Ovis aries: one gene and its partner. The main gene of each other region encodes a partner of the protein of the gene in region 2 in a complex. Links are inferred from orthologs where the notes say so. Each region holds a gene or a part of one and is shown on either strand. Other genes may lie near its edges.

Evidence for each region. The genes of interacting proteins can lie anywhere in the genome.
Region 1: STRIP2 (region 2) and PDCD10 share a complex: the UniProt entries of both Homo sapiens proteins name them as parts of the core of STRIPAK complex. The link is inferred for Ovis aries from reciprocal best matches to the Homo sapiens genes STRIP2 and PDCD10.

Annotation. Positions count from the first base shown.
Region 1 is NC_056054.1:220,413,142-220,416,641, forward strand, and holds part of PDCD10 (programmed cell death protein 10), read left to right. Parts: intron 1-1,117; coding exon 1,118-1,235; intron 1,236-2,790; coding exon 2,791-2,917; intron 2,918-3,500. UniProt on the Homo sapiens protein: Promotes cell proliferation. Modulates apoptotic pathways. Increases mitogen-activated protein kinase activity and STK26 activity. Important for cell migration, and for normal structure and assembly of the Golgi complex.
Region 2 is NC_056057.1:95,051,012-95,054,511, reverse strand, and holds part of STRIP2 (striatin-interacting protein 2), read right to left. Parts: intron 3,130-3,500; coding exon 3,055-3,129; intron 2,366-3,054; coding exon 2,268-2,365; intron 1,833-2,267; coding exon 1,556-1,832; intron 1-1,555. UniProt on the Homo sapiens protein: Plays a role in the regulation of cell morphology and cytoskeletal organization. Required in the control of cell shape. Calmodulin-binding scaffolding protein which is the center of the striatin-interacting phosphatase and kinase (STRIPAK) complexes.

The sequences.
Region 1 (3,500 bases), on a different chromosome or scaffold from region 2:
TCCTTTTCTGCTTTCGTTCCATAACCTTTCAGTTTCGGGTACTTGAAATCTAATAAGAAGCAAGGTGTTATAATGTAAGAGCTGAAGAAAGCTAAAACGGCAGTGATACCAGACTTGAGGAGGCATAGGCTAACATAACTTGGCCCATCAGGAAGCAAATAGATTGCCATTTGATAGATCATATTTACTATGTAGTACCAGGGTAAAAAGAGAGGAAATTATCAGCATAATGATTAAAATTGGCAGGCGTCCTAAAAGAAACACCGTGTGAGTACAACAATTTTTGAAAATAATAAAATGGGGCAGAATTACAAGGGAAAATCCAAATCTTGAAAACTAACTTTGGTTAACTCAAGACTTTTTATGTTCAATCTTGAAATAGCTAGAAGATTTTAGTGCCCTAGGGAATGTAAGTAACAGAATCAATGCAAGCTCATTAGTGAAACAAGCTCAGGAGATAGTAAAAGGATTAATGGTTTTCTGAAAGCTAGTGAAGGAGATAATATTCTTGCTGCAAAAATAAAGTAGGAAATGAATATCACTGTGTGAGAATATAGTTAAGGGATCATAAAGCTTCAATAAAACCTCCAAAATGAATCCTGGTTTTTTTGTTGTTGTTGTTTTTCCTGACAGCTTGTTAATTTAAATGCAGAGAATCTGAAGGAAAGAAATTGGTGAGATGAGTTACTGTTTGATTTTCAAGTTGAAATATTGCTTAATGAAAAAGAGCTAAAAATCTTCAGTGTTTTTAAACTACTGAAAAAAGTAATTGAAAAACTGTATCTATATGTATATATATACATGTACATATATTTACTCTTTATTTCTATGTTTGTTATTAGTTTGATTGCAAGAGAGTATAAATGAGAAGTAGGAAATGTTAAATACATTATGTTCAGATGGAAGTTTGGATCGTGACTGTAGTAATCTGTGGATGCACAAACTTTCCCCACACATAAGTGAATGGCATCACGACGCTTGCTTTGCAAAGATTTCTGCCCTTATTTGTAAGTTGATCAGTTTAAGGAGGTCCTAAGAGATTCTGAATGGTTAGGTTTTGGCTTTAAAATGTTGATTCAGTTTCTGTATTTCAAAACCATCTTTCTCTTTCTTATAGGCTGAAAAAGAAAATCCAGGACTCACGCAAGACATAATTATGAAAATTTTAGAGAAAAAAAGTGTAGAAGTCAACTTCACAGAATCCCTTCTTCGAATGGCAGCTGATGATGTAGAAGGTAATCAAAAAGTCTTGTTTAGTTTTCTTACAGATGCTGAAAAGCTCCTCCAAATCTTCCTTATTTGATAAAAGTGACTCCTCCCCTCCCTTCCTCTCCCCTTCCCCTTCTCCTCCCTTCCCTCTTACTGTTAGTGTTATTGTTATTATTTTGAAATGAAAATGGGGGGGTGCAGGGAGGAACCCATATAAAATAGACATGTAGTTCTTTTTATTTTTTGTCAGATTGAGTTACTAGAAGTAAAGCATTTGTTTATTTCCCTCCTATTAATTAATACATTTGATGAGTTCTAGTTTAATGAAGAGACAAGCTCCTTGGAATGGTGGTTTTATTCTGTGTTGACTTTATGCAGATACCAGTTTGAAAGTAATGAATTTTCTTCTTTTTAAACTTTGGTATAGCATGTTTGTGGTTTTTTTTTTTTTTTCAAATATAGATTTGTGAGAACAATATTACTAATCATCCTTTTGGCTTCTTTTCACATTTTTGCTTTTTTAAATAATTAGAAATGTATGTGTGCTTGGTCGCTAAGTCATGTCCAACTCTGCAACCCCAGGGACTGTAGCCCACCAGGCTCCTCTGTCCATGGGATTCTCCAGGCAAGAATCCTGGAGTGGGTTGCCATCTCCTTCTCTAGGGGATCTTCCCAACCCAGGGTTCGAACCCATTGTCTGCCGCATTTCCTGCATTATCAGATGGATTCTCTACCACTGAGCCACCTAGGAAGCCCTGGGTTTCACTGAAATTTAGTAGTCATTTTCCCTCTAATTTAGAAAAACATAGAGGTATAATTTCTCATGTTTATTAAGCGAGAACAAAAATAGATGTTTTAACTGATTCTGTAAATTATGAGAAAGGCCTCATTATTATTCTGGATTGAGCACCTGCAGCCTGTCAGGCCAGGTTGTATTGATGAGTTGGTAGAGCTGTAATGTTTCCGAGTCTACAGTGGATCTGGTTGTGAAATTTTGCCTTTGCTGCATCTGACTAAACTTCCTTACCAAAGTTGCTGTTTTGTGATGCCAAGCTGTATGTTGGACTTTGTATGGTGGTATTTTTGTTTTAAGTGAGATTTCAAGAATGTGCTGAAGACTAGTAGGTTTGGAGTTTTGATGTAAGGAGCCATTGTATGTTGAATGTAGAGATTTCTTTAATTAAACTCATATTCACAATTGTCAGATACATATTGCCATTGTATTTGTTACAAATGTCATTACTTATTGTTTCCTTGTGAAATGTAACTTGAGAGGCCTGAAAAATTTGATTGGGCCTTCCTTTTAAATTTTATTTATTTCTAAGATTTCATGGAATTTCCATTTATCCCATATTGAAGATGTTCATTTTTTTATCTTCTGATATTTTACTTGGAGGGAGCCCTAATACAATTACTGAACTAAGTTAAACTGTAATGAATTCTGCTTTGCAACCTCGTTCTTCCTAGTTTTCTAGCCTTTTATCTCCCACTCACCTCCTTGACCAACACATTGGAAATTCTTAGACTTGAATTTGGCAGCAAGTTGCATGATGTTTTTTTACTATGTATTTATTTCATCAGAGTATATGATTGAACGACCGGAGCCAGAATTCCAGGACCTAAATGAAAAGGCACGAGCACTTAAACAAATTCTCAGTAAGATCCCAGATGAGATCAACGACAGAGTGAGGTTTCTGCAGACAATCAAGTAAGCAGCTTTTTGTTTGGTTCTTCTTCTTTTTTAAGAACTTCAAAAAGACCACTCATTTTAGATGTTTTACTGTGGTATGACAGTAATATTAAGTTGAAATATTAATTTGAAATAAAAATTTGAAAATTACTGTATTTTTTATTAATTTCTAAACAGCCTCTGGCTTCTGAGTCCAGTAAAATATTTTAGACTGTTTCATTTAAAAGCAGAGAATGGAATGTACATGAACTGGAATGCAGTTTGAACCTCATAAGAAGTGGAAGAATGTAAATGTCACATTAAAGTGAAGAGGGTAGTTGAAGAGACTGATAACAAAGGATACCAATGCTGTGTTTTATTTCAGGAATAGTTCATGTTACTAGCATAATGATGTACTCTTAGTTGTAAACAGCACTTCTTAATACTGACCAAGTTGTGAACCTCCCAGAATCCTTGCATTTGGGATGTAGAATGAAAGAGTTTGAGCTGACACAGTTCAGTTCAGCCAGGAACCAGGCTGATGGACAGCAGCAAGAAGGGTTCTTCTCAAACAGGGACACAGCACCTCTACCCAGGGGCGTTCTCAGGGGTGAGAGGGTGG
Region 2 (3,500 bases):
AACTGGTTGAAAAAGCACAGAACTGCAGTGTTTTAATTCCTTTAGCTCTTACTGATTCCTGATCACCAAAAAATAGCCATGGCAGCACACTTAGCTGCCCTCTCCCAAGGTGTATGGCTAGAGGTGAGGAGTCAGCTTGTGTTGCCCAGTTCTCTCTTCTGCTCAAATATCTTCTCCCTGGCAGCTGACCCAGAGTATTTTGCAAAGCCTCAGGTGCAGGAGCCAATACAAACCTACTGTCAAGTGATGGGAAACATCTTTCAGTTTGAGACACGTCTGTAGCCTTGTCAGGACACACTGACATGTACTGGCAAGGCCCATCAAGCCACCCACCTGTCTGGCTGTTGATCCACATACTGCCCACCAAGAGAAGCAGACAGAAGCACACATAGGCAGATCTCTTTCTACTAGGAACACTATTTCTCACTCATCCCTCCCTACTCCTCCCAGCCCTGCTGCTGCTCTGCAAACACTGGTAGAGGTGTGCGTCCTCGGGGTACCCTAACACACTACAAGATGTCTCTGAATGCACTGAAGTGGATACATATCCAGGTTGTACAGATGCACCTGCCATGGACACAGACTCTGCAGGGCCTCCCTGCACGGAGCTCCTGCTGTTTTAGCAGCAAGCTCGGTTCTGACTTCTCAGGAGGAATGGGGCAGAGCCTCTGTGCAAGAGTGAGAAGCTCCACCTCCTCTCCATGTCTCACCGCAGAGAACACTCACTCACTGCCCTCATCTTCTCCTGTGTCTTGGCAACACCCACAGCACCAAGTCCAAACTCCGTGGCATGGCAAACATTGCTCTTATGGCAGGTTCTTAACCTCTTTTAGCCTCAGTGGAGTAAAGTAAGACCCACCTCGCAGGGTTGAGAGACTTTGATGAGATCCCAGATGAACCTCTCGGAGAGCTGGCCACAGTGTAATTACTCCCTAACCGTGCGCTGGCACAGGTTTCGCTTTCTACTCCCCACCACCCTCTCCAGCTTTGCGTTACCACCAGAGCTCCCCGTCTCCCTCTACCTCATGCAGATCTCCAGAAACGTTTGATTAGTTTCCAAAGGTACTTTGCCCTCTCCCCTCAGGAGTTTCACAAACCAGCTTTTCTGCTTTAAATGCTTCCTGCCATCATTCCCTGACAACTCCTGCACCCTGGCTAACAAGTTTTCTGTAGGACTCAGGTTAGGAGTCACAGCTTCTCCACCTCAGGCTGGATTAGGTGTTTCCAAGGCAGCCAATGCTTACCTGTAACACAGCACTTATCACTCCATAATTGCCTACTTTACATCTGTATCCTTTATAAAACTTCAAAGCCCTTACGAGCTAGAGGATGCCTTATATAGGAGTCTATCTCAAATGTTAGAACAGTGCTTCACATACAGAAAAGTATGCTCGACACTCCCCACCCCCTCTTTTGGTGGCATGCTTGAGTCCTGTCTTCCATTGCTTCAAAGCTGGCTGGGCATATTCCCAAGAAGCTAGGGATTCCTACCTACGACCCCTGGATAATGTTCAAAGGACACAGACATTTGCAACTTTCTAGGACAATTCCCCACCTTGTGCCCCAAGCTTGTGCAACACGTATCTGAATTCCGTAAGACAAAGAACGATGCTCTGCTGGACTCCAAGGCCCTTGTGTTCTTCCTTTGGACGGCAGGACCTGGAGGACACCTGAGGGGTGTGGAGAAGTGCTCTGAGCTGCTCACCTGGTAGATGTGGTTCAGTTTGAAGTGTTTGAGGAGCAGCAGGAGCAGGGCAGAGATGCTCTTTACAATGATCTCCTTGTGCCTGTTCACATCGATGCCCAGCTTCATGCTTTGGAGAACAGTGATGCTACAACAGGGAAAGGAAGAGTCAGTGCAGAGGGTGGCCTTAGAGAGAGGCCTACGGGGACACATACAATACACACCAGTAAGCCAGAACCTGAGACACCTGAGCTGTGCTAGGAAACCTCCAGAGTTCCCACTTGTGAGTCTGTCTGGAGAAAAAAGTTCCTCTGATACCTTTGTGTCTCTCTCGCCTTTGGCAAGCTTGTCTCTTAGCAATGTCCACCCACATACACATGCAGCCAGTGATGTGGCCCTCCAGACCCTCAGTTCTGGGCTCAAAAGAGCACAGAGAGAGCACTGCAGTGGAAAGGGGCTACTGGTGGCAGAGAGATCTCCTTGGAGACAATCCCTGTAAGTGTTAACAAGGTGAGGCAGGGATGAGAGAGACTCTGCAGACAAGAGAGTGAGTATTACCAGCTGCCCCCACTGAAGCACTTACGGCATCTCCTCAGGCAGGACGTCTGCCAGGATATTGATAGAGTCTGTCTTAGCCTTGGAGGTGGGGGCTGCAGCCAGTAGAATCTTAAGCAGAGCAATCTGGGAAGCAGAAAAAGAGGAAATCTACCCCATTCAACAAGGCTATCCTTCCACAACTCAACAGCTCTAAGAGAAGTGTTTGAAATCCTTGCTCCAAGTCCTTCACTCAATAACCAAAGCTCCCTACCTCCAGAAGGGCAAACTGGTGCCCAGTCCTGACAGGCCTGCCTGGGAGGCTAAAGAGCCTGAAGAGATGTGCTTACAGACTGTTCTGCATCAAGACTGCTCTTTCCAAAGAGGATGAGAGAAGGAGCAGAGAGAGTGGGGGCAATGCCTAGAGATTAGGTCGGAGGGAAAGGCAAGATCCACCCCTCCCCCACCCTCTTCCTTCCTCTCCCTCAGACCATCAGCATCCTCCCCTGGGAGACTGAGGCCAATTAGGACACCGGAAGCCACCTCGGAGGAACTAAGGCACTTACTCAGGAGAGGCCCCTGGTGCATCCTGCATGGAGCCTACCCCATTCCCTACCTCTCCCAAACAAGGACTTGGAGGTAGAGACAAGTCCTCCTTCCTCTGGGAGGAGCCCCAAGGGGAGATCAGAATTCTGAAGTGTCAGAGAACACCACCCGGTGGGTGAAGGCTCAGGAAGCAAACTCAAGTGACAGAGGGCTCAGCTTAAAAGGGCTCTCTGTCATCTCTCCCTCGCAGCTGAGAAGCTCTCACAGCCCGGACCTGGCTGTCTCCTTACCATGTACTGGGGGAGGCTATACAGCATGCCCTGGTAGAGGATTTCGCATGGTGTCTCTGGTACCACCTCTTCCCCCTGCAGCAAGAAAATACACGGTTTGCCCAGATCATTTTCCAGTTAACCAAAATCTATCTTTCCTTGGCTGTGGAGGATGGCAGGACAAGAGCTTCGTACCCGAGCTGCGTTCATGAGTCACTGCAGGACCTTGGGTCAGTTACTTTCCCTCTCCGAGACCTAATCTCCTCTTTCAAGGATCAGAGAGCTGGTCTGGATGACCTCAGAGCGCTCTTCCAGCCCTGAGAACCTATGATTTTAGTTGCCCCGTTATCTGGAATCCATCCAGAGTTCTTTCTATATCGCTTTCCAGGTCAGAGTCAGAACTCCCACTGAGGATTTGGTTCATACCACTGCTTTGCTGTACATAATGGGCTTAACTCAGGCCACAG